Nothobranchius furzeri: one gene and its partners. The protein of the gene in region 5 purifies or fractionates together with the protein of the main gene of each other region. This does not show direct contact. Links are inferred from orthologs where the notes say so. Each region holds a gene or a part of one and is shown on either strand. Other genes may lie near its edges.

Region 1 (4,880 bases), on a different chromosome or scaffold from region 5:
CAGCAGCACTGCAGGTGCTCTGCATGTCTAACATGTGTGTAAGCCAGGTCCTTAGTCAACTTAAAGTTGCGTACATTTTTCCGCTGTTTTCTTTCATGAATCCCAAAGATTGTGTGGAAAGTTGCTTACGCAGTTTTCCGACTGTGTTTTGTGCGTAAGCAAGCTTGATAAACGAGGCCCCAGCTCAGATGTTGTGTAAAATTCCCGAGTAAATGAGACCCATCATCAATACTGATCCGAACTGGGACCAGTCCATCATGTTTCTGTGTGATGTTGAGAGCAGGAATCCTAGATTTTTTTTAATTTTGGCTTTAAATCTTCTCCAGGAAACCTGCTCCACAAGCTGCCACCTAGTTCTGACTTAAGTTTTTTTCGTATCCAGATGCGGTCCCCTTGTTCCTGCGGCTGCTCCACTCTCCTCACCAGAACGTGTGTGAACAGGCCGTTTGGGCTCTGGGAAACATTATCGGTGAGTACGACCCTCGGGCGGAACGTAGGCTGGGGCAAATGCAGCCGTGATGCTGAGATCTCTCCTGTCGCCTGCTCAGGTGATGGTCCACAGTGCAGGGATTATGTCATTTCACTGGGCGTGGTCAAGCCCCTGCTCTCTTTCATCAACCCGTCTATCCCCATCACCTTCCTCCGCAACGTCACCTGGGTCATTGTTAACCTCTGCCGCAACAAGGATCCGCCACCGCCCATGGAGACTGTGCAAGAGGTGGGCGTGTCTGGGCACGCTTTTGTATACTAGACCTATCTTTGTGTTGTTGTCTGCGTTCACCCAGGATAGTCTTAGACTAGTGACAGTTCAAGCTGTTTGTTTCTGCTCTGTTCTTTGATTTGACTTAAAATCCTCTCGTCTTTGCCCACAGATTCTGCCGGCCCTCTGTGTGCTTATATATCACACTGATATTAATGTAAGTTTCTGCCTGCAACGTGCTCGTCCCATGCATGTCTTTTCTCAGAGTTGTTAACTGTATTATGTTGGTGTGTGTAGATACTAGTAGACACAGTCTGGGCTCTGTCTTATCTGACGGACGGAGGCAACGAGCAGATCCAAATGGTCATTGATTCTGGGGTCGTTCCATTTCTTGTGCCTCTCCTCAGCCATCAGGAGGTCAAAGTTCAGGTAAAATTGTTTTCATGCAGAGCTCTTTGCTGTTTTAATGCGTTAATTTTAATCGGCGAATTAATCTGAAGTTGTCTCGTCATTCTTTCTCCTGCAAATCCAGACAGCAGCTCTGAGGGCCGTCGGGAACATCGTGACGGGAACAGACGAGCAGACACAGGTGGTTCTAAACTGTGATGTTCTCTCGCACTTCCCCAACCTGCTCACCCACCCTAAAGAAAAGATCAACAAGGTAATTCGAACTGGAAACGGGACTCTTAAGGCTCCTCGCATTTCCGTCCCTTTACGAATGAGAGGGGTGTGGTTTTTGTAAAACAATCATCACTTCCGACGAAATACACCCACAGAAGTCTTCCTTACATTTAATATAACACCTGTTATGGAAGTAAGATCGTTAAAGTGAGTCATTAATGCAAAATGAAGCATAAACGAAGCTGAATTGGATCCAGATGTGGCTGAAAGGCTGTTTTGGGGATGAAGTTAAGGGGCTGATCTTGACTGCTTGTGTTTGCAGGAAGCAGTCTGGTTCTTGTCCAACATTACAGCAGGGAACCAGCAGCAGGTCCAGGCTGTGATCGATGCTGGGTTAATTCCTATGGTCATCCACCAACTGGCTAAGGTTTGTGCACGGCACGGGAGCAGCAGAAAACCTAAAAACTCTCGTAGTTATTCACCTTTCTCCACAGATGGGGGCGGATCAGGCTTTAGAAATATGTTTTATGATTTTTACACATTGTGAAACGGATTCTTTCAGTTCAGGCAAATAAAAATCTCATAAGATGGTCACAAATGTGGTGAGCATCTGACAATATGCTCTGGAAGTGGATCTCAATGACAGCCTGGTTCTCCACAGGGCGACTTTGGCACTCAGAAGGAGGCAGCATGGGCCATCAGCAACCTCACCATCAGTGGGAGGAAAGACCAGGTGAGCTGGAGCCTTACACTTTTAACTTGGCAACACGACCACACTTTTAAATGTTTATCTGAATATTTCACATCCTGTAAGTCCATGTAAATGATTTAAGGAGGCCGTCCTCCAGACTTGTAACCACATATCTGTGTTACGATAAAGTGGTGTGTATGTATGGGTTTGTGTAGGTGGAGTTCCTGGTGGAGCAGAACGTCATCCCTCCGTTCTGCAGCCTGCTGTCGGTGAAAGACTCTCAGGTGGTGCAGGTCGTCCTGGACGGCCTGAAGAACATCCTCATCATGGCTGGAGACGAAGCCAGCACCATCACTGAGATCATAGAGGAGTGTGGAGGTTATTTAGTCATTTCCATTTAACTTGATGCTCTTGGGTTTACAACATTTTGGTGATAACACAAGATATCTTTTATGTTTTTTATGTGAAGGTTTGGAGAAAATAGAAAATTTGCAGCAGCATGAGAACGAAGACATCTACAAACTAGCCTTTGAGATTATTGATCAGTACTTTTCAGGAGATGATGTAAGTTCACCATCAGGGATTTCTTTTTCTACTTCAGGTTTTTCCCTCTGCAGCTTGGTGTGATATCTCCTAGTTTCTTTTCCAGATTGACGAAGACCCTAGCTTGATCCCTGAGACCACTCAAGGAGGAACCTTCAACTTTGATCCAGCGTCCAACATGCAAACAAAGGAGTTTAATTTCTAAAAGCCGGAGGATTTTTGGTTCCCATCGCTGCATGGGTACTCTGTAATCATTGCATCCATCTCCAACAATCTGGCAATCCGGTACTGAAGGATTTTCAAAGCATCACTTCGACATGGATCTCACCACTGAGATGCTTTCTCCACCTCTGCACTGCGGGGTCGTTTTATTTATTTTTTTCCTTAAGTTTTTTTCTCCTTTTCTTCAAAGTGTCATTCTTTTTGGAGCAGTGCGATTCTTTTTTTTTTTGGAGTCCTGGTGATCCGACAGGCGCCTCGGCAACCCGCGCGAGGACGGCTGTCGGTGCCGCCAGAGCTCCTGAGGATCCGTCGAAGGTAAAAAAAGCAGAAGGAAGAAAAAGCCTTGGCAAGATTTGTTTGCCAATTGTCAAGTCTTCACTAAAGACAACACAAGCACATTTACAAACACAAACAGGTGCGCACACACACACAGTTATATATAAATATATACATATATGTAAACACACTTTTGACACTTAAGACTCGTGTGCTTATTTCTGTTAGAAATTATATCACACATGGGGAAGAAATACTGCTGTTTGTTGGGTTATTTTTGTGCTCTCCCTCCCCTGGATTGTCTTTTGGTGTACCCCCCCCCCCCCCCGACACACACTCGCACACAAAAACACTTGGTCACACTGATTCCTAAAGGCCAGGCACACTCCTCTTTCACTCGTCTAAAGATTTAATCCCAGAGCTAAGCCATGATCACCCACAGACCCCCCACTGCCCTCCCAGGAGAGTCTTTGGGCAAATCGGGGAAAAGAAAGGGCTCCAAGGCAAAAAGGAGAAGACTTCGTGGCAAACTCACTAACGGGGACTTCTGACTCAGACGTCACTTTTTTCCTGTACTGAATTTAAGAAAATATCTAAAATGTGAAGAAATGCCATTTTATTATTTTTTTTAACCACATTCAGCTGCAAACTGTTTCTGAGTCAGAAGGTAGATTTTGGTATAAATGGACGTGGAACCCTGTCACACAGGGAATGGCAACAGAGACCTTAAGAGAAGAGGAATATCACTTTCTCCTGTGTGTTCCCACCTGGCTATGTGAACAGATTTTTTTGTTTTGTTTTTGAGACTCTCCTGTAATGTGAAAACTCTGAAAGGGGGAGGAGCTTAACAAAAACGTATGTTAAAGCGAAAAGTCCAGAATTGCTCATCTGACCATAAGGTTGTGTTTTATTTTTGTTTTAATCCTCTCAGAACAAATGTTTCATGTCTCAGCTTTGTACGGTTGGGTCTGTTGGTTTTTACTTTATTCAGTCTTATGCACACGTCTGAGAGGCACGACAGTGTCTGCCTGCAGAAAGGGACCCACGGAGTGCAGGTCCTGATCTTTTATTGTACTTAACTACTTTTGATGAAGAGGTCACATGTCATCACTCAATTTGAATAATTGTACAAAACGTGATGTGTATCTCTCCTTGCCGTCTAATGAGTATATGAATATAAATATATGTAAACATAAAGCCTGTACAAAGCTGCTGCAGCTGACAGTCATTGTATGAATAACTGTCAAAGATGGCAGGGGATGTTTTTTTTTTGAGCAATATTTCTTTGTTTTGTTTGTTTTTGACTTGTAATGACATGCTGATTGGATCAGAATAGGCTCTTATTTAGTCCGTTCTGTTGTGGTGACGGTTTATTTTTATTTTTAATGTACCGTCCCATGTTCTGTTTTATTTGGGTTTAAGGTGTCAAACTTTAATCCCAACTCTTGTCCTGGTCTCAGATTTTATAATCTGCTGATTGGCTGCTAACTACTTAGTGGGGGTCAGAGCGGCGACGGGGGTGGTCACACCGGGGCTTTAAATAATGGGTGTGGCTGTAACAAGCGGCCATGTTTTTTTGCTTTTGTTTGGGGGACTAGTTTATATTACTGAACAAAGCTATAGAAGGGGTGTACAGTCATGAACTAGCAGACTAGACCGAGCCACTTTAAAGATTTACAATTTTGTTGCCTTGTATCTGCATTTGATACAAGCTTATGTTTGCAAGATTTTTACTTGCTAATGAAAAGTTGTTTTAAATAAAATAGGAGAAAAGCAACAGACAGCATTTTGGCCTCTGATTGTTTGTATCTTTTTATAAATTTTAGA
Region 2 (6,616 bases), on a different chromosome or scaffold from region 5:
CATCAGCATCAGAATAACCAAACCGACTTCATGAGGAACTGATCCATGCTTAATCTGAACTCAGCTCTGCATCATCAGTGGGACCGTGTGTGTTTCTCTACATTAGACCTGATTCTAATCCAGCACAGGAGAAGAATAACAGCTCACACCTCCGGCAGCAGCCAGAACTATCCTGGGTCCTCTGTAGTGGGTGGTGATGTACTCCACCAGGTCTCCTCTGTTGATCGTCCTGCATCACAAACAAACAAAGATAAACAGTTGCTTCAACCAGACGAGGGAAAGTAGGAAAGCAGCTGGATCTCACTTGATGTTCTCCGTGGGGCCGAGGATGGTCCTGCCCAGTGCTGTAGACTGGTAAGCTGTGGCGTGCAGGTAATCAAACACCACCTCCTGCAGATTGGTCTCCACTTCCTGCATCTCTCTGAGGATCACGCCGCGCTCCCGTTCGATCTCCGCTTCACCGAGTGTGCTGTTCTGAATGATGTCAGCCAGGATTTCAACAGCTAGGAGGCGGAAAACAGTTTTTTATCACAAAACTGGATGGCGAATGGTTTGGAATACAAATGTATGTTATTGTGTTAATGCAAAGACAGCATGAATAAAGGCTGAGATAGTAGAATGCTGCAATGTTATATAATTACAAAGTAACTATCACCATGGCAACCGACAATGTGAACTAAATCTGCTCTTGGCAGGTTTTAAGCAACATGGCTTCACTTTCTTTTGAAGTCCAATTAAGATGAGAACAGGATTTCCTCGATTATATCATGTGATCTTTTCCCACCTAGACTAGATTTGATTTATCTTTATTTTAAAAGCAGATGTGGTTAATTGGGACATTGAGCTCCATTGATCAGGCCTTTTCACATCAGGATGAGGACAATCCCAGTTGACTGAACTAATCAAGCATTCTGGAATCAAACACATCAACAGTTTGTTGAACTTTCTGGAGCTCTCTTGTTGCAGCATTACTCGTGTGAGCTGCTACTAGAAAAGTAGTATAGCTGCAGACCAAAACTTCCATTTTCGTCAGGTCGATGCTCTTGGTCTGTACCTCGTGGGAGATCCTTTGAGAACGCTTTGGCATAGTAGACCGTCTGCTCCCGGGATGTGTACGCGTTCAGATGAGCTCCCATGTTCTCTATCTCCAACTCCAGGTCCAGCTGAGAGCGTTTCCTGGTGCCCTGCAGCACGCAAACATTCAAATGAACATTTCCTCTTCCAGATAAACACACAGATTAAATATTCACAGCTGCAGCCTTCTCACCTTAAATGCCATGTGCTCCAAGAAGTGTGCTGTGCCGTTATTCCTCTCATTCTCATAGCGACTGCCAGCATCTATCCACAGCCCCACCTGAAAGAAACCACTTATCAATGTTCTCTCCACCGGTCCTTGTGAGAGGCCTTTTCAGCATGAGGGGCTCAAACTTTGAAAAGAAAACAGATTTTACAACATAATCCTCCAGCTTACATCTGATGCATGACTAGGGTGAAGCTATGGTGACTGAATCATGGTGGTGGGATAACTATCCAGTACTCTGATCCAGTATTGACAAAAAAAACTGTAAATTTAATGGCTGGATGTTTAAAGTACATGGTTGCTGTTTGACCCACATGCTGTTCATTTAGGATTTGAACTTACTGTGCACGTAGTAAGGCCGGAGTCCTCTGAAGCCACCCGCAGTCCGTTTTCTAAAGTAGTAACTTTAGTTTCTGGGACATTTAGCGCCACCTGGTGGGCAGCCCGAGTAGCCAACAGCCGCCGCTACAGTCACAAAATCAGCAAGTCAGTATGAGTCTTCAGAGTTAGACCAGCTGCTGTTAATCAGTACTAGTTAACTACATAGCATTGTTGTTATACTGACGGAGGGTGTTTCTCAATGTCAAGGCGCCTTGCGAGGCGATGTCTTGCGAGGCGCCTTGCTTACGAGGACACTGTCCTTCCTTGATCAAAGAAATCGGTTAAATGGAAGAACAAACGGAGAACACACGCCTCGGTAGAACATCCAGCTTCTAGTGGGGAAGGTCATTGGAACCGATTGGAACACGTCTTGGCGGCTCCTGATGGCGTATCTCCTAGGCAACCGGGGCGGGGCCAAGACATCAAGACAAGGTTCCTTGACGTTGAGAAACAATACCCGCTATTTCACTCCAACCAAACATAAGGATTTATCACAGTTAGCCTGTAGCGGCTATGTTAAACAGTGAGCCGGCTAAAACCTAGTTTCAAGCGTCCTGTAGACAATATATGATAAATGACCCGCACTTGTGTAGCGCCTCTCACAGTAAGGACTCCAAAGCATTTTACACTACAGTGTATCATTCATCCATTCACACACACACACACACACATTCACACACTGATGGTGATGAGCTACGATGTAGCCACAGCTGCCCTGGGGCGCACTGACAGAGGTGAGGCTGCCGAGCACAGGCGCCACCGGACCCTCCGACCACCACCAGCAGGCAACGTGGGTTAAGTGTCTTGCCCAAGGACACAACAGCAGAATTCTCTGTCCGGAGCCGGGATCGAACCTGCAACCTTCCGATTACTGGACAACCCGCTCAACCTGTTGAACTACTGCTGCCCAATAAACCATGATCGATTAAAATCGATTTTAATCATTCTTACCCCGCTGAGATAATTACTCTTGAGTAAGTTTCTTTGTAAAATAATTCTCCCCGCAGATGTGAGAAGATGAAATGACGCTGCCATATTGTTTATTTGTAAATGTGCGCATGCGTGCGTCACGCAACTTCCGCTACGGACAAGGAAGAGAAGGTGGTGCTTTGGTTCTTTAAAAAATAAAAGCAGTTGCTTTGAGAAATACTAATGTTTCTTAGAACCCGGAACTCAATAATTTATATTTGACAGTGGCACTCACGTGGTATATGTAATATTGGAGATCTGTGTAAAGATGGAAACTTTATGTCTTACGAGGATCTAACCCATACTTACAAATTGCAAGGTAAAGGACATTTTTGGAAATACCTCCAAATGAGACATTGTGTGACTTCTAAATTTAAGGAAGTTCCTGAGAATGATATTTTAGGTTATATTAAAATGCCACGTGACCGCCACACTGCTTCGGTGTTTTATAAACTGTTTAATCATGGTTTAAGTGGGGAGTCTTTAGGCATTAAACTACTTTGGCAGCGGGACTTGGAAACAGAATACACAAATGAAAAATGGCTAAATGTCTTATCAGACAGTGGTAAATATGTGAAAGAGGCTAGAAGTAAATTTATACAGTACAAGGTGTTGCATAGATACTACCATACTCCTACCAGGTTGCATAGAATTTTGTTTTTGTATGTTCTTGTACGTTATAAAAAATCTGAAGATAATAAAAACTTTAATTATAAAGAAATAATTTATATTTGGACGAAATTACATTGACGTATAAATAAATGCGTTTTAATGACCCCCCCCCCCCCCCCACACACACACACACACACACACACACATACATTTGTAAACATGCTACATTTAACATATAATATTTTGGCCCATGTTTAGTATGTTGACAATGCTAGTAAGTGTACACCTGCATAGTGACACTGTATTAAAATCCTTGAAACTTGGGGAGTTTTCTGAGATCATATTACATAGGAAAGCAATATTCTTGATTTTAGGACATATAATAAATAACACAACAGATAAAATGCCAAAAATTACGCATCCACAACCACAATATGTAAAATGCGTAGTTGTAGTTTTATTTTGAAACGTTCTGACAGTTCCCAGGCGGAAGTGGCGCTTTAGCCAGCGCCAATTCACCTCTGGCTCTTTCGTAAGTTGGTGCGTTCGTTAATCGTTGCGTTGAGGAGTCGCCAAGCTGATTTAAACTACATTCGCCTGCGGAATAGAGCTTTCTATCGGGCTCTTTAAGGTGTTCATTGCATTATTTTGTGGCCGGCCTTAGCATTGAGTTTGTTAGCCGCTAACGTGCTGTGGAGTTAGCTATGAGTAACCCGAACTTCAGAGACAAAGGTGTTGATAACAGCCTCTGTTGTTGGCTCTGACTTCCAGGTAGGCTACCGAATGGCCGAACTGATGGACGGTGACTTGGAAGATGGAGAAATCTCTGGGTCCAACTCGGACACCGAAATGGGAACGGCTGCAGCAGAACCTGACCGAACCGAGGCTTCCTCGGCTTTTAGCGGGCAGTCCTTTCAGCAACGAGCCGCCACCCGGCCGCCTGCCGCCCCATACCGAAGCTCCGCTAAGGCGGTGGAGTCCAGCGACAGTGATCCGGATTCTTCAGACGAGGATTCGGCCATGTGGCGCCGAAAGAGACAGAAAGTGTCTGGAGCTCCACAGCAGCCTGCAGGGTCTGCTCTGCCTGGTCCGAGGCCCGTGCCCGCCCCGGGTGCGCTTGGAAGTCGCAAGGTAAACAATATTTGGGGTTCCGTGGTCCAGGAGCAGTGCCAGGATGCCATCACCTCAGAGCTAGGCATCTTTGGTATGGAGGGTGTCAGCATGTCCAGCAGAAGTGTGGAGACTTATAACTTTGTTCTAGCCCGAAAGATGATGGAGAAGGAGAGAGAGATGGAGAAGCAGTCAAAGCAGGGAGAAGAGGAGACCATGCTAGATGCTGAACTGGAGGCCTACATGAAGGGCCGGGGTTCACAAGAGAAGGCAGGGAATGATGTTAAGAGGAAAAGACCCGCCAAAGAAAGACTTGGCGCCATAGCTGAGATGGACATCAAGGGTCGATTTGAAATCACTGAAGACGACCCCGAGGACAAGGTGGTGGACGAGATTACATACAGACTGCAGGAGCCTAAAAAAGATCTGATAGAGCGAGTTGTTCGCGTTATTGGATCACAAAAAGCCATAGAACTGCTGGGTGAGACCGCCACACTGGAGGAAAACGGTGGTGTTTACACTATGGATGGCAGCAGGCGGAGGACTCCCGGTGGAGTATTCCTCAACCTGCTGAAGAACACGCCCAGCGTCTCCAAGTCCCAGATCAGGAAGATATTTTTTGAGGAACATCAGAAAGATTACAAGAGCAAGAAGGCAGCGCAGAAGAGGAGGCGGCATGAGCTGGCTAAGAAGATGAAGCAGGCCATCGGCACTCTGAACCTGCATGAGCATGACGACGTCTCCAGGGAAACCTTTGCTAGTGATACTAACGAGGCCTTGGAATCTCTGGAGGAGGCTGCAGAGGAAGAGGAGGCGGGTCAGGAGGAGGTTGCTGTGGGAACCGAGGAGACGGCGGTGGTCTATAACTCGACAGACCTGGAGGTTTTCTGAACACATCCCTGTGTGTGATCATAGAAAACCAGAACTGAGATGAAAAAGGAGCACTGAAAACTAAAGGAGTCATTGAAGTCACACTGTTTGTTTGTATTCCATTTTTTATTTACCTTTAGAAATAAAAGAAACATTAATGCTAACAAATGAAAAATACTCTGTTTGTGTTCAAAATTATATCCTGGATCTGAATTTAAAAAAATCTTTGCTGATTTCAGTATATAAAGAGGTATTGTGTTAGTGTGTCATTGCAGGACAAATAAAAGAACTGTTGAAGAAAAATGTTCAGTAAAGCAGGAAGTCTTGCTTCTGTGATTCTGTCATGCAGAAAGAAAGGTTTCTAACAGCAACACGCAGGTTTGGTCCCAGACAGATCAGAATAACCCCTCTCCCATGACAGCTTTTGCAGTGCAGACTTTTGTCCACTAGATGACAGCAACACTAAATGTTTAAGGTGCTGCTTTTGGATGAACCACATTTACGGCTATTACAGTATAACAAAACATACTATACATACTTTTATATTTTTCTTTCATTTTTTTCCTCCAATTTTTAATTTACGATGGTTTTTGATCATTTTTTATTGTCCTTGTAAAGTGCCTCATGGTTTTTATCTTAGGCCCTTTATAAAAAATAGTTTCTTCATAAAATAAATGCATACTTCGACACTATCTGGACATCAATAAGGCCTGAGTGATGTAAAGTAGAATTTAATAAGTCGTTTAGTCTTTTTCCATCATCGTATTTATCCTTTATTGTTTTCAGTGCTGCATGTGTAACACTTAACAGTTCAAACACTCCTGCACTAAACATCAGTTTCTGATTGAATCTGGCTTCTGGTTCAGACATTTCAACATTACTCTTAACGGCTCCTTTTGTTTCCATATAAAAAAAAGGTTAGTGGACAAAAACTACAGAATCTTGTGTCCTCTCTGGAATAATAGTGATAAGAAATAAAATTATGATTTACATTATTTTTGTTTTAATTGGAGCAGCAAAAATGGGCTTCAGCAAAAATATATAGCAAACATTTTTTTGAACAAATTTAGAAAATAGCAAAAAAGTCCCTTTTTTGTGGCTCAAGAAACAGCTTATTTTCGGGAATGTGGAAAAAAGTTTTTATTAATTTTTTATCTGAAAACGAGTGCCATAATAAGAAATACACAACAGCCTTCTCTGTCAGGGGCTGCAGCAGCAATCGGAGTACAAAACATTTAATCAATCCTTTATTTTTGGTGGGACACGGGCGGATTTAGGACTGAAGAAGATCCGGGGCTTAACACACACACACGCGTGCGCGTGACACGCACTAGTCAACATCATATACTGTATATTTGTCTTGTACCACATAAT
Region 3 (6,419 bases), on a different chromosome or scaffold from region 5:
ATATGATTTAATATGTCTGTCATAATTAAATCCAGAGTTCTTATGAAGATTTCAAGAACAAACTTCAAGAGCAAAAATATTGTATCAAGATATTTGTGCAGTTTTTAAATATTATTATCCAAAATAGGTTTATTTGTATTTAGCTTTAACCAATTCATTATTTTTAGCCAGAACATTTATGATAATTTACCATAACATAAATTATCACTTTTTTTCTAAATAAAACACCCCTCAGAGCACTTAAAATAAAAGCTATTATTTCTTTCTGTGAGACCCCCAAACCAAATTATTCAACCTGACATGTTGCACTCATATTTAAAACCCTAATTAAAAAATTATCAAAGCAAATAATAGTTTGTAGATTTAACCAATGCGACAGTAAAGCAAAATATAAATCTGAAAAATACATACCTGCACTTATTAATGCAAATTTGCTTATTTCTGACTGTTTATGCAAATAAAAAGCAGTCATAGTTTTCAAAGAACTGTTTATTATATGAAAATGATGACGGAACAGATTATTATTGTGTTTTAACTCATTAAAGACGGAACACAACAAAAACTGCCTCATGAACTCAAAATCATTTGCATTTAGTCATGATAAAAACAAACAAACAAATACTGAAAGTTTGGGATTGTTAAAGGATGCAGGTCAGACTTACTGATGCTCAAACATCAAACCAAACAGGATCCGCTTAAACCCATTTTTCTCCTTGTTGACAGATTTTAAGTAAACAAAACAACCTTTTATAAGTTTGTTCCAGCTGACAGCATCATGCTACCAGAACTTTAATCCGGACAGCACCCTCGCAGCCTCCTGCCGCTTGTCTCCAGGACAGTACTTGCGTGTGTGCGCTCTGTCCCCGGTGGCCTTACAGTTGGGACAGGTGTACTTCCGGAGGACGGGGCAGAGCACCTTCCCGTCGTCAGATTTGAGCTTGTGGGACCGGTACACCTTAGGAGACTCTCCGTTCTGCTTGCAGAAACTGCAGCTGCTTGCAGAAGCCCCGTTGTTGCTGCTGCTGTTGCTGCTGCTGCTGGAACTAGTCTCTGCGGAGATGCTGGAAGTCCTGCGCCTGGATGGGGTCTGGAGGTGTCGCCAATGGGGGTCCTTCTCGGGCTCCTCTGGAGCCACCTCCCTCTGGTCGCGCTTCTCCAGAAGGCTGCTCAGGTTCATGTAATCATGCCACATGTCGAAGCAGTCGCCACCGTGCAGGAACGAGCTCTGGACGTCCACCCCACCTTGCATCTTTATGGAACAAAAATGTGCAATGGTTTGCGTTAGAGAGCATCGTTGCATATTTATAGGCGCCAGTAAGTCGTTTTAAATTGCAACAATGTTGATGTCTTGCAGGTGTTTGGGTTGTGCAGGGTAATGGCTTTGTTTGAACACTTAAGGGCAGTTGCATTTATTTAGGTAAAAAAAATGTTAAAACACGTGCAAAGGTAAATATTTTTCACAATGTAGGCCTACTACAATCTGTGGAATGTTGTTATTGTTATTTCCTGAAGCCCCAATCAACAAAATATAAACAATGACTTTACTACAGAGTAGTCCGTGGATTAAGATGTTTATGATCTTTATTTTTGAATACTTGTGCAAAAATTTGATTATTAAAAATTATAAATGAACGCATATTTTATCTTTTTCCAAACTTTAAAAAGGTGCACCTGTTTTGCTCTGGTGCACGCTTTTCGATATTTGCGCCTGTGACACATTTAGATGTTAATATTTAGATTTTGTAATTGCATGTGTTGCCTAAGTTTGTAAATGTAGTTTAAGGACAAATCACAAAAGCAAAACATGAAAACAACAATAATAAGTGATGGTGAAAATGTCTTGCATACACTGTGATCAGTGTGTGTGCATGTGTGTGTTCCTGTGTGTTTATGTGCATGTGTGGCTACCTTGCCGACCCACCGTTAACCCCTTAATGATCCTTGGCGCCTCAGTGTCTCATCTAAAACACTTCAAAATAAACACCTGCACCGTTTGAAAAATGTTCAGTAAAACTGACAGAACGCATCGCTCTTTGAAGTTAAAACAAATCTGTCAACCCCTAATTGTGAGTGGGATGACTCTTTTGGCTTCTGAACCTTAACACGTTCAACTTTTGACCTACACTTTCACTTTTGAAGACGTTTTCACCCTTTTAATCAATGGAAGCGTCATATTTACAAAACAAAAGCCTCGTGTGGGCGTGGCCACAGAAGCGTACGAGGACTCCTCGTACGTGCCTCGAGGCGCATGCGTAGTTATTTACCGGTGACGGCTGTACAAACGGTGGCCTAACGAACAAGGGGATTACGAGCACAACCCGATAGGTAAAATAAGTAAAACATTTACACTTTTTTATTTATTATGTTTAGAAAGCCTTTACATTGACAAGATGTTTTACCATTTTTGCCAGAGACATCTGGGAAACGCCAGACTGTCCGCAGTGCTAAGCTTGGTCTCGACCTAAGCTAACATCCAGCTAGCCACTAGCTTACGGAGTTGAGTAGGAGGCTAATACCCGCTGTGATATAAGCAGCCTGACCCTGTCTGTACGTTGCTGTAGTACTACCTTGTGTTTTTAGTAGTGTCAGTTGACTTCGACAGGTTTTCTTCACCAAAATTGACATGTTTGGTTTCCTGCAGCCCACGCAGTAAATTCAGAGAATGCTAACCTGCTAGCAAGGTCTCTTAATACTTTAGCTGAAGCAATGTTTGTTTAGAGGAATGATCTACTCATTGACTGTGAAAGAGACTGCTGAAGTAGCAGTGTGATCCACCCAACCTTTTGCTATGACTGTCAGAGGATACTGGGCGACGTTTAATTCATGAAGGAGGCTAAAACCAAGATTAGGATCTGCTCTGATCCAGCTATGCTAAAACAATGGCTCCTAATCCTAGTCAAGTCTGTGTCGATCATAGGTATTTCTGTGCTCTCAGGCATCACTATGAGTCAAAGTAAGGACAATGCACGACTCAAGAGCTACAAAAACAAGTCTCTTAACACAGATGAGATGAGGAGGAGGAGGGAAGAGGAAGGCCTGCAACTTAGGAAACAGAAGAAGGATGAACAAGTAAGTCAATGGTTAATGTGACCGTAAATGAATAAAATGTCAGAATTTGCAACCAAATAAGCATCTTGTTCTTTTATAGCTTTTTAAAAGGAGGAATGTTGCCACTGTGGAGGATGAGGGCACCCTTGAGGATGATGGAATGGCTGATAGTGGCTATCTGGAATCTCAGGCTAACAACCTGGACCCACTAATGGTGGGAAAATATTCCTTCTTTTTCTGCAATCAACTCTTTTTATTTATATATTTATTTTACTACCGTTTAAAATCACATGTCAAATAAATTCTTATTTTGTCACCTCACAGGGTGGGGTGATCTCTGATGACATGATTCAGATGATCTTCTCCAGCTCTCCGGAGCAGCAGTTGATAGGCACTCAGCGCTTTAGGAAGCTTCTTTCAAAAGGTTGGCTTTTTTTTTCCTTTTTTTAAATGTGTGCATTTTAAACCATGCACCCTGTTTCAAAACATCATGATTTACTACCTGAGTTGAAACATTTAGTGGTTACATTCCTACAAATGTTTTTCTTGCGCAGAACCCAACCCACCCATCGACGAAGTTATTGCCACTCCGGGGGTGGTCGAGTGTTTTGTTGAGTTTCTGAAGAGGAGAGAAAATTGCACATTGCAGGTTTATTTCCCAAAGTTAAATAAAATTTCCTCCTCGTGTTGGACCGCATCCTCTCTCTGCCTTGTATGGTGTCTCTAATTCTGCTCATGGTTTAATACATTTAAGCCTTTTTTGTAATTATCTTTGTAGTTTGAGGCAGCTTGGGTGCTGACCAACATTGCTTCAGGGACATCCCACCAGACGCGGGTTGTGATCCAGGCTGGAGCTGTGCCCATCTTCATAGAGATGCTGAGCTCAGATTTTGAAGACGTTCAGGAACAGGTTGGTCGAGTTTTCAGGCTTATTTCTGCATCAACAACCTTATATCTGTTAACTTTTTTTTAACAAAAACATGCAAGAACTGGCCTGTGATGTTCTTGTTATACAAAATCATACATTCATGTAGTGCTTGTTGTCTAAAATGAATAGTTGTTTCACTCCTCAGGCAGTGTGGGCATTGGGTAACATAGCAGGTGACAGCACAGAATGCAGAAACTTTGTCATCAACTGCAACATCCTGCCTTCCCTGCTGCAGTACGTCATTGATCTCTTTGTATAATTTTAGAAAATAAAAATGGAAAAAACAGCATCTTTAGGAATTTTTGCTTTGTTAAATCCCGCTTTTAGGTTATTGGCCAAACAGAATCGCCTAACGATGATGAGGAACGCCGTGTGGGCGCTCTCAAACCTGTGTAGAGGAAAGAACCCACCCCCAGACTTTGCTAAGGTAATTTGCCAAGATATACTATCGCTATGGCAACTGCACATCAGAGCACATTTCAAGGTCACAGGCAGGATGGTCTTCTAATTGAATCCAAAAGCAAATTTCCTCTTAAATCTCCTCATGTTCTCCTCCTTGCCCCGTCCAGGTGTCCCCATGTCTCTGTGTGCTGTCCTGGCTGCTGTTTGTTAACGACACAGACATCTTGGCTGATGCATGCTGGGCACTGTCCTACCTATCTGATGGGCCTAATGACAAAATCCAGGCTGTTATTGACTCAGGAGTCTGTCGGAGGCTAGTGGAGTTGTTGATGTAAGAATTGAAACTTTTTTATTCTGCAGCGTGTTGTAGAAGCGTGTGTCCAGTCCCAGATTCTTTCATATGATCCACACATCTCCTTCCCTTTAGGCACTCTGATTATAAAGTGGTGTCTCCAGCTCTGCGGGCTGTTGGGAACATCGTCACTGGCGATGATCTGCAGACACAAGTAATGACATCATCAACACAAACTGTTAAATAAACATGAATGTTCTGATTTGAATCTGATTTTTATTTATCCTTTCAGGTGATCCTGAACTGTTCAGCTCTGCAGTCCCTACTTTACCTCCTGAGCAGCCCAAAGGAGTCTATCAAGAAGGAAGCTTGTTGGACCATTTCCAACATCACCGCAGGGAATCGAGCACAAATACAGGTTATTCTACACAGTTTTCTTTCTTCTTTTTTTTTTTTAACTACTTCATCTCGTAACAGGGATGTCAAAGTCAAATACACAGAGGGCCAAAAATACAAATTGGCTATAAGCCGAGGACCGGACTGGTTCAATGTTTATTAAAACATATTGAAATGATTGCACGTAGCCTATTGAACCAAGACCTAACGCAGTGTATTATTTAATGATTAAATCAATAATGGGGAAAGCATTTTTCAGCAGGCACACAGACAAGAACAAACTGCCTTCAAAGAAAAATCACGTCCTGTACATTAAATGAATAAAGTAATATTTTCTTATGGCTCTGTCAGTAAGCTAAAAAGAAAACATTTTCAACAGGCAAACAGCAAAAAAGCAATTTTCCTTCAAAAACAAAACATGTTCCTTACATCAAGATGAATGCTTAAATGAAACTGCATGCATTATAAACTGAAAATGCAATATTGTGCTGCTCTATTATCCTACCAATTACTGCTTCAAATAGTAAAATGAAAAAATGTAGAATAAATCAAATTCTTTCTCATGGCTCTTATCTGCAATTTCCCCTGAGTCCATTAACTAAAATAAATATAAATAAAATACAGTACAATACAATAAAATGCAAAAATATATGGCACACTGACAAAACAATACTTCCTTCAAAGAAAAATCATGTCTTGTAGAAACAAATGTAAAATTTTAACCGAATTAAAAACTAAAGATACGTTAATGCTCTGTGATGCTCACTTCTCTGAGCCTGATACTTGATGGTGTCTCATCTTTTGTACAAGCTCATCAATGTTCGGGGTAAGGCTCTGAGCTGAGGAAATCCTCAAGATTGAGTGAAGGTGCTGATCAGTGAGACGGTTCCTGTGTGGTGTTTTGTTTAGCTTCATCAAAGAGAACAGTTGTTCGCACAGGTATGTGCTGCCAAACATAGAGAGCGTCTGAGCAGCTTGGATGCGCAGCTCGGCCATTGTGTCGGGAATGAAACGTGCAAACTCGGCAGCACCCACTCGCTCATACTTTTCCTTCAGTGTGTCATTGCACTGAAGCTCAATCAACTCCATTTGTAGGTTTGGTGGTGCGCTTTCCACGTCAACTGCAAAAGGATTGCTGAGCAGTTGAAACTTGCATTTTTGGGCTTCAAACTCAGCAAATCGGCGTCGGAAGTCGGCGGCAAGTATGTTGAGTTTGTCAGCAAACTGCACTCGGGAACACAGCGGTAGAGAGCTTCTCTTTCATGGTCTCGCAGCTGGGAAAGTGGCTCAAGTTTTCTTTCCGGATCTGCATCTCCCACAGACTCGGCTTGGTTTTGAATGCCTGCACTGTAC
Region 4 (6,391 bases), on a different chromosome or scaffold from region 5:
GTTTCCTAAATCCTGCATCAGTCCAAGCAAGGCAACTTTTTTCTGTTTTTATTACGTTTTAGTAGCCATTAGCGCTGTGCATTGTGTGCATCAGTGATATTCAGTCTACGAGGAAATCGTGCAATAACAAAGGTTCCACCTTGCTCGAAATGCGAGCTGTGATTAAATGCTTTAATTTTTTTTAACACGCTATTTTTTTCTAATTAATTAATCATAATTAACGCGTTAAAGTCCGGGCCCTAATATTTAGCTTCTATCATGCTTGTAGCAGTAGGAATTACTTTGTACTCCAGAGTTTAGTTATAAGCGCAGTAGGAACCCTAGAAGTGACCACCTGGGTGTCCGTTGTCTCAGCAGATGTGTTACTGTTGTGTTAAGTCACTGTTGTGTTTATCATCTTGCATTGTGTGTGTTTGCTGCATGCCTTTGATTTAAGCCATCCCATCTCCTCTTTTCTTACAGATTGTCAGATTCTTAAGTTTGCCAGTCTAGCAGGAGTCTGGACTGGATGCTGGGTGTCTCTTGTGAAATTGGCATGAAAACAGTTTCCAAAAGCTCAAGGAAAGAAAAACGACCACCAAATGTGCTCCCCCCTCCCCCTCTCGAAGTTTTAAAGAAGAAGCTCTGATCATAGTCGACAGAATTCCTAGTCAAACAGCAACCACTTTGACTCCATCTTCATCATCGCCATCATATCGAATCAGACATCGGGCCTTTGTGAAACTTCCTAAATGTTCCGTAGGATTTTAATGAGTTTTGCTTTCTAAGTTGTATTTATTATTGTTCAGCATCTCAGCTGAATTTGATATGTTGAGATGAAAGGTGCATATTTTATTATGAAGATATTTATACAGATGTTTGTATGCGGCTTCACCCTCAGTTTGATTTCATCTGGATGTTCTAAGGTGGTCCTCTAGAGTGTACATACCTTTTAGCGTGTACAGCGACTTTGTCCGACTTTTAAATCATTGTTTTAGATTGGAAAAATACTTCTATGGGTCTGAAATCACCTGACGGGGGTGGAGAGTGGCCTTGTGGTCCTTTACTTTAAAACATAACCTCAGTTTGTAGTTGTGGAAGGTTTATTCACTAATAAAGACATTCCCGCTCATTACACCAACATGGCTGCTGAAAACTCCATTCACCCATTCTGTCTGATTATTCCTAGCAAGAACAGCAATAAAAGTGTGAGGAGCTTTCATTTCTTCCCCTTTCTCCACATCCTGTAGGTCTCATAACAACAAACTTCAGGCTTCTTCGGTCTCTTAGAAAAATGCTGTGTAGAAAATGCACTCGCCAAGAAAACGGCTTTTCCAGACCGACTCTACAACACGCTGCCGGGCGACCGAGTCAACCAGCACTGCTGCTTTCACGGCGTTTTTCAGACAGAGCTGCCCTCTGCACGTTTTCAGCTGCAAGGCGGGCGTCTCGGGACCTGTCTTCATAAGAAGCTCTGCACTTGGGAGGAGGTGGTGCGAGGACAGCGGAGGCACTTCAGATAAAGTTTACTTCTGGAGCTGAGCTCTCGATTCCGTGTAATTTTCTTTTAACCCTTTTTTTTTTTTGTAAAAAAAATCCTCAGGCCTTTCTTGTGGTCTTCATGTCAGCTCATAACAGAAACTTCAAGACTGATGTACAATGGCTGAGCTTTACTGAGCATCATGTACCATGAGATTCGTCTGAATTCAGACGACTATCTTCCCCGCCACTCATTTCCACTTATCTTTTTAGTCTGAGGTGGCATGAAAGAAAGTTTACTAAATATTTGGACATCAGTAGTCATCTTGGTTAAACTTCTATATATCCTACTGAAAATATGGTAAAAGGCTATTGTAAGTGAATTTGCAGTAGTGACTGAGAAGTATGAAAATTATGTATTTGAAGGTTCCTGCCCTTTTTGTATAAAAATGAAATAAAAAATTCATCAGTTCTTGACTTGATTTTTTTGTGTTACAAATGAAAAATATCTGAACTACACTGCATCACTCTCAGCTCGTCCATAGGAATCTCCATCCCTGACTAAAAAATCTCAAAATTACAATATATATTTACATAATTACTATAAATGTGTCAGATTTGCTTAATTGTGTGTGCCTAAATGTAATCTGAATTATTTATACATTATTTTCCCCTGCTGTCTCAAACAGAAACCGATTCTGACTTTAATCTCAGAATCCTGACTTGGTTTCTCATAATTCTGAGAAAAAAATTATAAAAAATGAATACACACATTTAAAACACTATTAGACACTCATTTATACAGTTTATCAGCAAAAAAAGTTAATTTAGAGGTTACTTGCTCTTTAAATATTAAAAAAAAACCTCACTCGACTTTAGTAAAAGTTTGCTGCTCCGTTTTAAATTAGATTTAGTTTTTGGCTTTCGCTAACTTTGGTGTGTTGGACATTTATTTTCTAGCCTACAAGAGTGAAAAGATTTATTTTTAACACTACAATCTAACCCAACAAGCGCTGTTATATAAGTCTCGCGATATTCTCGTAACGTAACGACATTTCCGGTGCGTGTTATGAAATTTTTGAACAGTCCAATGAACGCTCAGGGCTCGACGTTTGGGCTCGAACGGGCCAATCAGAGGCGAGTCTAGTAGGAATTTAAAGGTCTGTGCGGTATTTTCTCCATATCACAACTGTTCCAGTCCAGGTGAGTGAGGTCTTGCTGCTCATTCGGAAAGTTTGAAACGTGTTTACGATTTCTTCCCCTTCTGTTTCGTCTGTCCAAGCCGTGATTTCACTATTTTAATTAACTAGCAATGAACTAATTTCAAACAGGAAGTAAAGCGCTCGGCGGTTTCTGACGGCTCATGGTGTCACGAGGCAGCTCGGAGCAAATCGATTAACCTTCGTGTGAAATAAACGTGTTTCCGCAGGAATTGAACCAACTTTGCATCTACTCAAGTCCACTAGCTTGAAAATGTCCGAGAACGTCGCACGTCTGAACAAATTCAAGAACAAAGGCAAAGACGTTAACGTAAGACTCGCTGCACCCAGCGTCAGTGATCGGGGTAGAATGCGCAGACTTGTGTTGAACTTGAATTCGTTTGAATCTGACGCAGGAGCTTCGGCGCAGGAGGGCTGAGGTGAACGTCGAGCTTCGAAAAGCCAAGAAAGACGACCAGATCTTCAAAAGGAGGAACGTGTGCACAGAACCGGAAGAGGCCACTTCTCCTCTCCAGGAAAGAACTCAGAACGGCCAGGTGAGACTTCAGGTGTCATTCGTTAAGGACGTGGTCTGCATCTTAAGCTGTAGGGGGGTGAATAGTCCCAGTATCTGGTGAAAGTTGCAAACCCCGAGCCTCGTACTTTGATTTTGAGCCCTGTTTCTTAACTTTTTCCACTAAATTATGACCCACTTTTGCCCCATTAGCAGAATTTAAGACAATGGACCGTGGAGGAGATCGTTACTGGGGTGAACAGCGGTAATCTGGAGTCTCAGCTTCAAGCCACCCAGGCTGCACGGTAACAGTCTTTTTTTTTAACGTTGCAAATTCCAAAGTAAACCAGTATTGATGCAGTAACTTCAACCGTGATGTTCTGTCATCAGGAAACTTCTGTCACGAGACAAGCGCCCTCCCATTGATCAGATGATCAGCGTTGGTCTGATATCCAAGTTCGTGGCCTTCCTCGGCCTGACGGACTGTCCTCCTATCCAGTTTGAGGCGTCCTGGGCTCTGACGAACATCGCCTCTGGCACATCGGATCAGACGGCTGCTGTTGTGGAGGGTGGGGCCATTCCTGCCTTCATTAACCTGGTCCTATCCCCCCACCAGCACATCAGCGAGCAGGCAGTCTGGGCTCTTGGAAACATTGCAGGTAAGTGCAGAGTTATTCTTTAGGCAAGTTTTTTTTTAACCTAAATAACTTAAATTTTTTTATTTGTATAGGTGATGGATCTGCTCTCAGAGATATGGTAATTAAGCACGGTGCTGTGGCACCTTTACTCAGGCTGCTGGAAGTTCCTGACTGGACTGTCTTTAGTGTAAGTCTTCTCGGATTTTACATTTTCCAAGAACTCCATTTGGGAAATGGTCGCATTCCTGTAATCGTTAATCCCTCCCGCCACTAGGTGGTGTCCTAACCCAATAAAATAATTCACCCCTTTAGTCTGACACCTGCTCTTCTGTTCTCTGTAGCCTGGCTACCTGAGGAATGTGACTTGGACTATTTCAAACCTGTGCCGTAACAAGAATCCTTCTCCTCCGATGAGTGCAATCGAACAGCTCCTACCTGCTCTCATTCGTCTCCTGCATCACAATGACCTGGAGGTGCTTGCTGATGCATGCTGGGCCGTGTCCTACCTGACTGACGGCTCCAACGACCGTATCGAGGTGGTGGTCCAGACGGGGCTGATTCCTCGCCTGGTGAATCTGCTCGGCTTTGAGGCGCTGTCTATAGTTGTAAGTAACTTTTCTGGCAAGTATGGTTTCTGTGGGCTTCAGCCGTCTTAAACCTCGTGTCCTTGCACTGAGACACAACTTGGACCCGGTTGTTAATGGATCATCCTCCCCCAGACTCCGGCGCTGCGTGCCATCGGAAACATCGTCACCGGCACAGACGAGCAGACTCAAGCGGTGCTGGACGCCAAGGCGCTGACCATGTTCCCTCACCTGCTGCGCCACAAGAAGCCCAACATCCAGAAGGAGGCAGCCTGGACTCTGTCCAACATCACAGCTGGGAAGGACACGCAGATCCAGGAGGTCATCGACGCAGGCCTCGTTCCATACATGGTGGAAATGCTCGTTCAGGTATGTCGTCGTGTCACAAGATTGTTGAGTAAACTTTATTTTTCTTCTAACAGTTTAGAAATATATTTTTATTTTTGCTTCTCCAGGGTGACTACAAAACTCAAAAAGAAGCGGTGTGGGCAGTTACAAACTTCACCAGTGGGGGCACTGTTCAGCAGGTGGTGTATCTGGTGCAGGTCAATGTTCTCGAGCCTCTTCTGAATCTGCTCTCCTCCAAGGACAGCAAAACGGTCCTCGTCATCTTGGACGCAATAACTAATATTTTCATGGTGAGCACATGTGTGAATGGACTGGATCAGCTGATTTCTCGTGTGTGGCTTCACGGTCCTGAAACTTGTCTGTCGGATTCGTCAGGCTGGGGATAAAATCGGAGAGGCCGACAAGCTGAGTCTGATGATCGAAGAATGCGGCGGACTGGACAAGATCGAGGCGCTGCAGTCTCACGAGAACGAGATGATCTACAAAGCTGCCCTCAACCTGATTGAGAAGTATTTCTCTGAAGAGGTGAGTGTGGCAGTGAAGGTGTGACCAGTTAAATGTTTGTTTGTCTCATGGACTCGTGTGTTTTTGTTTTAGGAGGAGGAGGTGCTGTGTGTGGCTCCTGAAGCTACAGAGGAAGGGTTTGCATTCCAGATCAGTGAAAACCAAAGCACTTTCAACTTCTAGATGACCCTTTTTTCTGTTTACTGTACCTGTGTCCTATGTTTGTGTTCTTCTGCTGTTTTCCTGTATCTAATGTACGGTTTTAACCTCTACACACTTGTAAATAAAGTTTATGATGCTTGTTATGGGCTGTGTGTGTGTGTGCTACAAGCTACCCTGCAACACCTAGGCTGAAGTGGTTTTGATGACGGATTTTAAATATAAAAACTTAATATTTGGTTTAAATGGCTGCTGCCTTTTCAGAGGCTGCAAGTGAAAAAAAGTGAACACTTATGAGGCAACTTTTTTTTTTAAGTGAGGATTTTTATAAATATATATATATATAAAGCTTACCAGTTTGGGTTTAGAAGTAGGGTGTGAATTGAGTTTTACGGTTAGGCATACTGCAGTCAAAATGAATGGGAGTCAATTGATGGTCCTCGCTATGATAGAAAGACAGGTGTGTGTGTGTGATGTCTGGCTCCCCCGGTGGGTGCTGTCGTCACCGGTCAGCTCGTGCGGCGGGACTAACCCGGAGGCTCCGCACTTGAGCTCAGGAGGAGCTGAGAGGAGGACCGAGGCAGGCGGAGGTTCTCTCCGAAGATGTGAAGACAAACACCGCCTCCCTCAGCGAGCCCACACCAGCCTCTCCCCGCGCCTCAGCTACGGGGTCCAAACGTTACATTTTCATTTTGGTGAATGTACTCTAAAGTATGTTACACCCGCCCTTTTCTCCCTTATTTTCGCATTTATGAGCGACCGCTGTGGCAGTTCGGTCCACCTCCGGGCCGCAATGCTTTGACTCCATTATTGTCTAAAAGTGGCGCAGAGGTTGATTTTTTTTTTTTAATCCGACACCCGGCGTTTTTGTAGCTGCTCCAGAGAAGTCTCGGTCCAAGAGGAGATGTCTAATCAAGGAGTTCGGCGGAATGGACCCGTGAAGCTGCGACTAACAGGTAGCTAGCACCGCTTCAACCCCCGAGCGTA
Region 5 (6,510 bases):
ATGCAATGTATTGTAATAATGTTGCGCTTGTGGTTTTTATCTGTATTTCCTCCTAAAAACAATAAAAAAGATACAGTAAAAACATTCTCGTTCACTCTTTTGCAGCAAGCTTATTTATCTTTTTTGAAAGTTATGTAAAAAGATGTAATCTCACTCAGTTTAACCATCTTTTATTTGAGGTTGTTAAGTCATCATGATGGACAATAAGTTCTGTGGATTTGGAAATGTTTGCTCTTGACTGCCCAAAGGAAACAGAATATTTCAGGGCAACATAATTTCCCACCACACCCGTTTCACGTAGATCACGGAGCGCACCGCTCGATGTAAACAAACTGGCTGCTGCTACAAGCTTATATGGATATGGAGCGATCACTGGCTGATCGTTAGCCACGGCTGGTGAAGCAGGGTTGGTGAGGGGGGGACACGCTGTGGAGATCAAGTAAACAACGCTGACTTAGCCACCAGCTAATTGTGGCTCACGGCTGGCGTGGTGGAGATGGGCATCACGAGCTACTAGTTAGCCATGGCTAGAGCCGGAGAGACGCATAAACTCCCACGGATTACCAGCAAAAGGAGACCCAGGTCTAAAGGTAACGTTTGAGAAGAAGCCCTCTGAGTCGGAGCGTCTCTGTAATGCGTGGAGAACTACATCGCTGTTAGTAGAGTGTTGTGGAGATAAAAGTAAACCACGCTGATTAGCCACTGGCTAGCGCACGAGCACTGGAGCGTGTTGGGAGAGACGGCAGGCTGCGGGAAGAGAGGAGACTTGAGTAGAAGGACTTTAGTACAGACACGTTGGGACCGGATCGGGAGTTCTGGTTCTACGAAAAGATGGATGAACAACTTGAGGTGAGTTTGGGAGTCAGAGACACTAATCAGAGGCTGGCTTCCAGATAATGGCGGGCGGGGATCTTGTGTTGGACATGACGAGGAATGGACAAATTTGATGTCTTTTGATTTAGTTGTTTTTAATTCAAACTAACAAGTAGAGCAACGGTGTAGCTATTCTTTTCTATTTCTTAGTTGAATTAGCAGACTTCATGCTTCCAGGGCACACTGCTGCCCTCTGCTGGTTCTTTCAGGTTACAGTCATAGTCCAAACGGTAACGTGGAGCTCGTATGTCCCTAAACAGCTACTGTATTTTAAGATGGTGGATGACCATGGAGCCTCGACCACAGATTATGTATATAAAATGTATAACTATATAAGTTTGCAGTTTGTGAACTGCAAACACAGGATTTGATAGTAAACTGGTAAAAAATATCACACACTGGGCCTTTAAGCAAGTTCACATTATGAACCAAAATGACCGTAAACCTCACCTGTCCTCCAGATTTGCCACGCCCGTACTGCCTGCCCTCCTTGAAGCCTGCGTCCCAGTCTGTCCTGATGATCCGGTCATCCAGCCGGGTACCGTTAACGAAGCGCATGGCGTTCTCTGCGTCTCCTCGTGTGTAGTATCTGGTACAGGCGCAGCTAAGGTCCACACTCTGTTCATTTTCACATCAATGCTACCCTTTTAATACACGACCAGTCAAGACAGAAACACTGTTGACATTTAAACGGTTTGTTTTCTTGTGCATCAATTGGCTTTACTAGATCAGGTGACGATAGAGCAGCAGTACCTCAGGAGGTAGAGTGGGTTGTCTAGTAATTGGAAGGTTGTAGGTTTGATCCCGGCTCCAGCCAGAGAATGCTGCTGTTGTGTCCTTGGGCGAAACTTTTAATCTGCCTTGTCTGCTGGTGGTGGTCAGTAGGACCGGTTGTGCCAGTCTATGCACCCAGGGCAGCTGTGGCAACATTGTAGCTCATCATCACCAGCGTGTGAATGTGTGGGTGGGTGACTAATTGTGTTGTAAAGCACCTTGGGGGGCTGTAGAACCTTAAGAAGATGCTATACAGATACAGGCCATTTACCAATAGTTTAAAAGGATACTCAACAAAACAGAATCCGCAGGCAGTCTTCTTGATTTTATCCAGGCCGATGATGATACGCTTCACGTCTCCACATTTAGCAAACAACTCGTGCACCTGTTCATATTAGCAGTGATTCGAAATATGCCTTCAATCTAGTATAAACCAGCCACAACCGTCTAGTTTTTATAAGCCAACATTCATCAGATCTCAGTAGTAGCTACATCGATCTTGAACATCGGATTATTTAGCTGGTTATAACCACGTTTAGAAGTTCTGAAAGGTTTTCATGGAATAATGTAAGAAGTAAAGCAGTCCTCAGGAAGCCGAAGCTAGCTTTATTTAAAGGTCTTACCTGCTCTTCCGTTGTGTAAAAGGAGAGGTTCCCAACATACAGAGTGTTACTGTGCTTTAGCAGCTTCTCCTGTTCATAACGATTACCCTAAAAACAAACATGACATAAAACTACTCTTAGAGCAGGAGAAAAACACATTTACATACAAAAGTCGAATTCATTCACCTTCTCCCTTACCTTAAAGTGTTGATCTCTATATTGACTAATCTCAGTGTAAGAATCGCTGGTTAAAGCGTTTAGTTTAGAAGACATTTTGGATAAATGACTACTTAGGCAGAATGCTAACGACGCGAGTTTGGATGATGTACTTCCGGGTATTTTGTCCGTCCACTAAATACATCCGGGAGGAAACACGGAGGATCGCTAAATTAGATCATTTTGCGTTTGCTTACAATTTTTTTTTAAGTTTTCGCCTTCATCCGAGCTTTGTAGTTGTTTGTGTGTGTGTTTCTTCTTAGTGTATTAGTGGGAAAAACGCAGAATGCTTTCAAAACTGGAAGTGTTAATCATTTATCAAGAATCAAAAAAGCAGTGAATGGACATAATCTAAATCAAGTCAAATCAATATTTGGTGTGACCATCTTTTGCCTTTAGAACAGCATCAGTTCTAGGTGCACACACACATTTGTTGAAGGAACTGGGCTGGTTCTAAACATCTTGGAGAACTAACCACAGATCATCGGTGGATATGGACTTCTTCACATCCTTCTGTCTCTTCCTGTAATCCTAGACACACGATTGATGTTGAGATCAGGCTCTGTGGGACCAGACCATCACTTTCAGGATTTCTTGTATTTTGGTGCACTTGGACTGCACGTACCTTTTGACCCTAAGGTGGTAGAGAACAAGAGAACCAAGCTCCTGTGGGACTTCCAGACCCAGACTGACAAAATGGTGATGGTGAACCAACCGGACATTGTGGTGGTGGACAAACCACAGAGATCAGCCGTTGTGGTTGATGTGGCGATACCAAGTCATGCAAATCCGGGAAAAGGAGCACGAGAAACTAGAAAAGTACCAGGGCCTCAAAGAAGAACTTAAGCTGGAGAGTGAAGACATCGGTGGTGCCCATGGTCATCAGGGCAATAACCCCCAAACTGCAGGAGTGGCTAAAGCAGATCCAAGGAAAACAATCAGACCTCTCAGTCCAGAAAAGTGCAGTTCTAGGAACAGCTAATATACTGCAGAACCCTCAAGATCCCAAGCCTCTGGTAGAGGACCCAAGGTTGGAAGGATGAGACCACCCACGGAGGGTGAGATGGGGATTTTTATATCAGCATCAGAAGTGTTTTAATGCCATATATGTGCAAGAAATCTCATTAGCAAATTACTGATTTTATATATATATATATATATATATATTCTTTTTCTTCCAACATCAACACCTTCTGCAGTTTTTTTTAAATATTTTTATTTGTACATCTTAAATTCGATTTAAACATTTGCATCTTTATGCTTCTTTTTTTTTATAAACCACGTCCTGTCTGGCTGTAAAGCAATCAGAATTTATGTCTGAACGCTGAAGACGAACCTTACAGTTTTACTCTGTCGGCTAATTTTTGTTTTCGGGCGTTTTACTTGGACCTGAAAGGACGTTTAATTGCTTCTGTTTGAAATATAAATAAAACTGCCTTGTCTAAATGAGATGGTGTAATGGATTAACTTCTAACTAAACCTAATCATTCCTTCATAAACATATGTTTAGGAAAGCAAATACCCAAGGGTATTGAGTCAGTGTCGTCTTCCTCCGCTTATCCGGGTCCGGGTCGCGGGGGCAGCATCCCATCTAGGGAGCTCCAGACCGTCCTCTCCCCGGCCACCTCCACCAGCTCCTCCGGCAGGACCCCAAGGCGTTCCCGGACCAGATTGGAGATGTAACCTCTCCAACGTGTCCTGGGTCGACCCGGGGGCCTCCTGCTGGCAGGACATGCCCGAAACACCTCCCCAGGGAGGCGTCCAGGAGGCATCCTGACCAGATGCCCAAACCACCTCAACTGACTCCTTTCGATCCGGAGGAGCAGCGGTTCTACTCCGAGTCCCTCCCGAATCTCCGAGCTCCTCACCCTATCTCTAAGGCTGAGCCCGGCCACCCTACGGAGGAAACTCATTTCGGCCGCTTGTATCCGCGATCTCGTTCTTTCGGTCATTACCCAAAGCTCATGACCATAGGTGAGGATTGGGACGTAGATCGACCGGTAAATCGAGAGCCTGGCTTTCTGGCTCAGCTCCCTCTTCACCACGACAGATCGGCTCAGCGTCATCACTGCAGACGCCGAACCAATCCGCCTGTCGATCTCCCGATCCCTCCTACCCTCACTCGTGAACAAGACCCCGAGATACTTAAACTCCTCCACTTGAGGTAGGACCTCTCCCCCGACCCGGAGTTGGCAAGCCACCCTTTTCCGGTCGAGAACCATGGTCTCAGATTTGGAGGTGCTGATCCTCATCCCAGCCGCTTCACACTCAGCCGTGAACCTACCCAGCAAGAGCTGAAGGTCAGAGCTGGATGAAGCTAGGACAGTCAGTGAGTCAGTGTACTTTTCTATATAATTACGAAGATGTGGTGCCATTGGCTACTGTCTGGATCCCTCCCATTGTTTTCCTTTTACATTTTAACTTGTGACAACAGACCTGCGCAAAAGTAACCGCACAAACTTACAAGGGAACCACAAGGTCAACATTTTATTTTTCTAACTCAAACTCGTAAACAAAACATCACCTATAACAACATGGCCTCCAGCATGCCTCTTGTTTCATTATAAAAATCACTTGTGAAAAACAAGTCCTAAAGAACTGGCATGAATGTTGTTACAAGCCTGAGGCAAAAAATAAAAAATAAACTGGACACAGATGCTAAATGAGAATTTTTCCAAGTGTTTTACCAGAACAGTCATCTGTTTTCTACAGTAATGAAGTCCAGTTAAAGGAGAACAGCAGCTCCGCTGAGCGGAGTCGGCTCAACTTCCAGATTTTGCTGGAAATCTTGTAAGGAGTCGGATGACCTCAACTTAATGCTGCAACAACTCCTGGGACCTGAAAGATAAAAAGAGTATTCATGTAACAGGAATCATCAGTGTGTCTTATTGGTCAGGCAGATTTTGTTCAAGGTTTCACCACAAGATGGCACTGTGATTTTGTGAATGCCCTAAAAAGTTAATTTAAAGTATTATTTTTCATGTCTTCAATACATTTTGTAGCATTTACAGGTGCACAGAACGAATCATTTTTGATATTTGAGTAATTTTGAATTGGTTTATTTGATAAGGTGTGTTTAAGAGCGTTGTGACGTCACTTCCCGTCTCTCGTAGATTTGATGCGCACGGACTAATTTGTGTGCTTTCTTCTTCGTAAATATGTTTCTATTTTTGGCTAAATTTCACATACACAAAAGCAAAGTCCTTGGCAGGAAACCTGAACTTCTTGTATTAAAAATGGAACTTGAACAATATATAAGGACGATCTCCTCATCAAAAAACACAAAGGCTCTTAAGTCTGTTAACATTTGTAACCATCTGAAACTGTTCGATTGACTTAACCTCTTCCAAACCTTTCTTTTTTTTATTCTTCCTTTTTCTCCATCATTTCTGTCGTTCTTCATTGTAATACCACAATGGTATACTTTGTGCTCCATGCCTTACAATTGTATGTTCAAAATGTGCTAAATAAAGTTATATTAAAAAACGGACAAATTTGTGCTAATTAAGAACATTTTCGAAGAAAGTAAAGTGTTTAAGTCTACCGGTTTGTCTACTAGCAGGCCAAAGTGGTACGTTTATTCTTTATTTATAAAATATGTTAGCTAACTTAAGGCAACTAACTTGTTAATTTGTACATGATTTATGCTTTTTCATTAGTTCTACGGTGTTCATGTGGTGTAAAGATAAAGAAGATGCAAGACCGCATTAAACATCAGTAAAAGGAACGCTCGTGTCTCTCGTGTACGTGAACAAGCCGGCACAAAAACTGAAAAACGAACGTTTATGTTTGACAGTGTTGGGAGTAATGCGGTACAAAAGTAATTAATTACTGTAATGCATTGCTTTTTGCTGTAATGTGGTAATGTAAGTCATTACAGGGAAAGAAAATGGTAATATTTACTCGGTACAATTGTCAGCACCGCGGTAATTACAATGCATTTTTAAACCCAGAATCAAGATGTGTTCCTTAAAAATTCAAATTGCGGGAAACCCGAAGAAAGATCCAGTATCTGCATATATGACGTCATTTATGGACTCAGCTT

Evidence for each region.
Region 1: the proteins of ncbp2 (region 5) and kpna3 purify together in Homo sapiens (co-immunoprecipitation; 3 studies listed by BioGRID and IntAct, with this or other methods). This does not show direct contact. The link is inferred for Nothobranchius furzeri from reciprocal best matches to the Homo sapiens genes NCBP2 and KPNA3.
Region 2: the proteins of ncbp2 (region 5) and phax purify together in Homo sapiens (affinity purification with mass spectrometry; 5 studies listed by BioGRID and IntAct, with this or other methods). This does not show direct contact. The link is inferred for Nothobranchius furzeri from reciprocal best matches to the Homo sapiens genes NCBP2 and PHAX.
Region 3: the proteins of ncbp2 (region 5) and kpna1 purify together in Homo sapiens (affinity purification with mass spectrometry; 3 studies listed by BioGRID and IntAct, with this or other methods). This does not show direct contact. The link is inferred for Nothobranchius furzeri from reciprocal best matches to the Homo sapiens genes NCBP2 and KPNA1.
Region 4: the proteins of ncbp2 (region 5) and kpna2 purify together in Homo sapiens (affinity purification with mass spectrometry; 4 studies listed by BioGRID and IntAct, with this or other methods). This does not show direct contact. The link is inferred for Nothobranchius furzeri from reciprocal best matches to the Homo sapiens genes NCBP2 and KPNA2.

What each region holds. Positions count from the first base shown.
Region 1 is NC_091754.1:26,736,614-26,741,493, reverse strand, and holds the end of kpna3 (importin subunit alpha-4), read left to right. Parts: intron 1-382; coding exon 383-469; intron 470-548; coding exon 549-718; intron 719-872; coding exon 873-917; intron 918-997; coding exon 998-1,129; intron 1,130-1,232; coding exon 1,233-1,361; intron 1,362-1,643; coding exon 1,644-1,748; intron 1,749-1,982; coding exon 1,983-2,054; intron 2,055-2,227; coding exon 2,228-2,390; intron 2,391-2,481; coding exon 2,482-2,576; intron 2,577-2,661; coding exon 2,662-2,760; 3' UTR 2,761-2,987; downstream 2,988-4,880. UniProt on the Homo sapiens protein: Functions in nuclear protein import as an adapter protein for nuclear receptor KPNB1. Binds specifically and directly to substrates containing either a simple or bipartite NLS motif.
Region 2 is NC_091741.1:59,212,629-59,219,244, reverse strand, and holds phax (phosphorylated adapter RNA export protein), read left to right. Parts: upstream 1-2,864; 5' UTR 2,865-2,969; intron 2,970-3,756; exon of another isoform or gene 3,757-3,893; intron 3,894-4,033; 5' UTR 4,034-4,045; coding exon 4,046-5,263; 3' UTR 5,264-5,552; downstream 5,553-6,616. Other genes in the region: pmpcb (mitochondrial-processing peptidase subunit beta), read right to left, coding at 150-229, 305-503, 1,055-1,184, 1,268-1,354, 1,643-1,765, 2,633-2,716. UniProt on the Homo sapiens protein: A phosphoprotein adapter involved in the XPO1-mediated U snRNA export from the nucleus.
Region 3 is NC_091747.1:50,441,792-50,448,210, forward strand, and holds the start of kpna1 (importin subunit alpha-5), read left to right. Parts: upstream 1-2,224; 5' UTR 2,225-2,325; intron 2,326-2,567; exon of another isoform or gene 2,568-2,708; intron 2,709-2,935; 5' UTR 2,936-2,943; coding exon 2,944-3,069; intron 3,070-3,148; coding exon 3,149-3,262; intron 3,263-3,372; coding exon 3,373-3,472; intron 3,473-3,602; coding exon 3,603-3,697; intron 3,698-3,826; coding exon 3,827-3,958; intron 3,959-4,121; coding exon 4,122-4,210; intron 4,211-4,303; coding exon 4,304-4,403; intron 4,404-4,545; coding exon 4,546-4,709; intron 4,710-4,805; coding exon 4,806-4,884; intron 4,885-4,962; coding exon 4,963-5,088; intron 5,089-5,828; coding exon of another isoform or gene 5,829-6,187; intron 6,188-6,296; coding exon of another isoform or gene 6,297-6,419. Other genes in the region: nanos homolog 1, read right to left, coding at 779-1,249; general transcription factor II-I repeat domain-containing protein 2-like, read right to left, coding at 5,829-6,187, 6,297-6,419. UniProt on the Homo sapiens protein: Functions in nuclear protein import as an adapter protein for nuclear receptor KPNB1. Binds specifically and directly to substrates containing either a simple or bipartite NLS motif.
Region 4 is NC_091752.1:67,642,884-67,649,274, reverse strand, and holds kpna2 (importin subunit alpha-1), read left to right. Parts: upstream 1-2,577; 5' UTR 2,578-2,661; intron 2,662-2,887; 5' UTR 2,888-2,931; coding exon 2,932-2,988; intron 2,989-3,073; coding exon 3,074-3,214; intron 3,215-3,384; coding exon 3,385-3,476; intron 3,477-3,561; coding exon 3,562-3,830; intron 3,831-3,901; coding exon 3,902-3,996; intron 3,997-4,150; coding exon 4,151-4,414; intron 4,415-4,528; coding exon 4,529-4,762; intron 4,763-4,848; coding exon 4,849-5,031; intron 5,032-5,116; coding exon 5,117-5,266; intron 5,267-5,338; coding exon 5,339-5,428; 3' UTR 5,429-5,550; downstream 5,551-6,391. Other genes in the region: nucleosome-remodeling factor subunit BPTF, read left to right, coding at 1,230-1,269; E3 ubiquitin-protein ligase SMURF2, read left to right, coding at 6,309-6,360.
Region 5 is NC_091748.1:71,741,645-71,748,154, reverse strand, and holds the start of ncbp2 (nuclear cap-binding protein subunit 2), read right to left. Parts: upstream 3,551-6,510; 5' UTR 2,523-3,550; coding exon 2,448-2,522; intron 2,358-2,447; coding exon 2,271-2,357; intron 2,033-2,270; coding exon 1,938-2,032; intron 1,463-1,937; coding exon 1,324-1,462; intron 1-1,323. UniProt on the Homo sapiens protein: Component of the cap-binding complex (CBC), which binds co-transcriptionally to the 5' cap of pre-mRNAs and is involved in various processes such as pre-mRNA splicing, translation regulation, nonsense-mediated mRNA decay, RNA-mediated gene silencing (RNAi) by microRNAs (miRNAs) and mRNA export.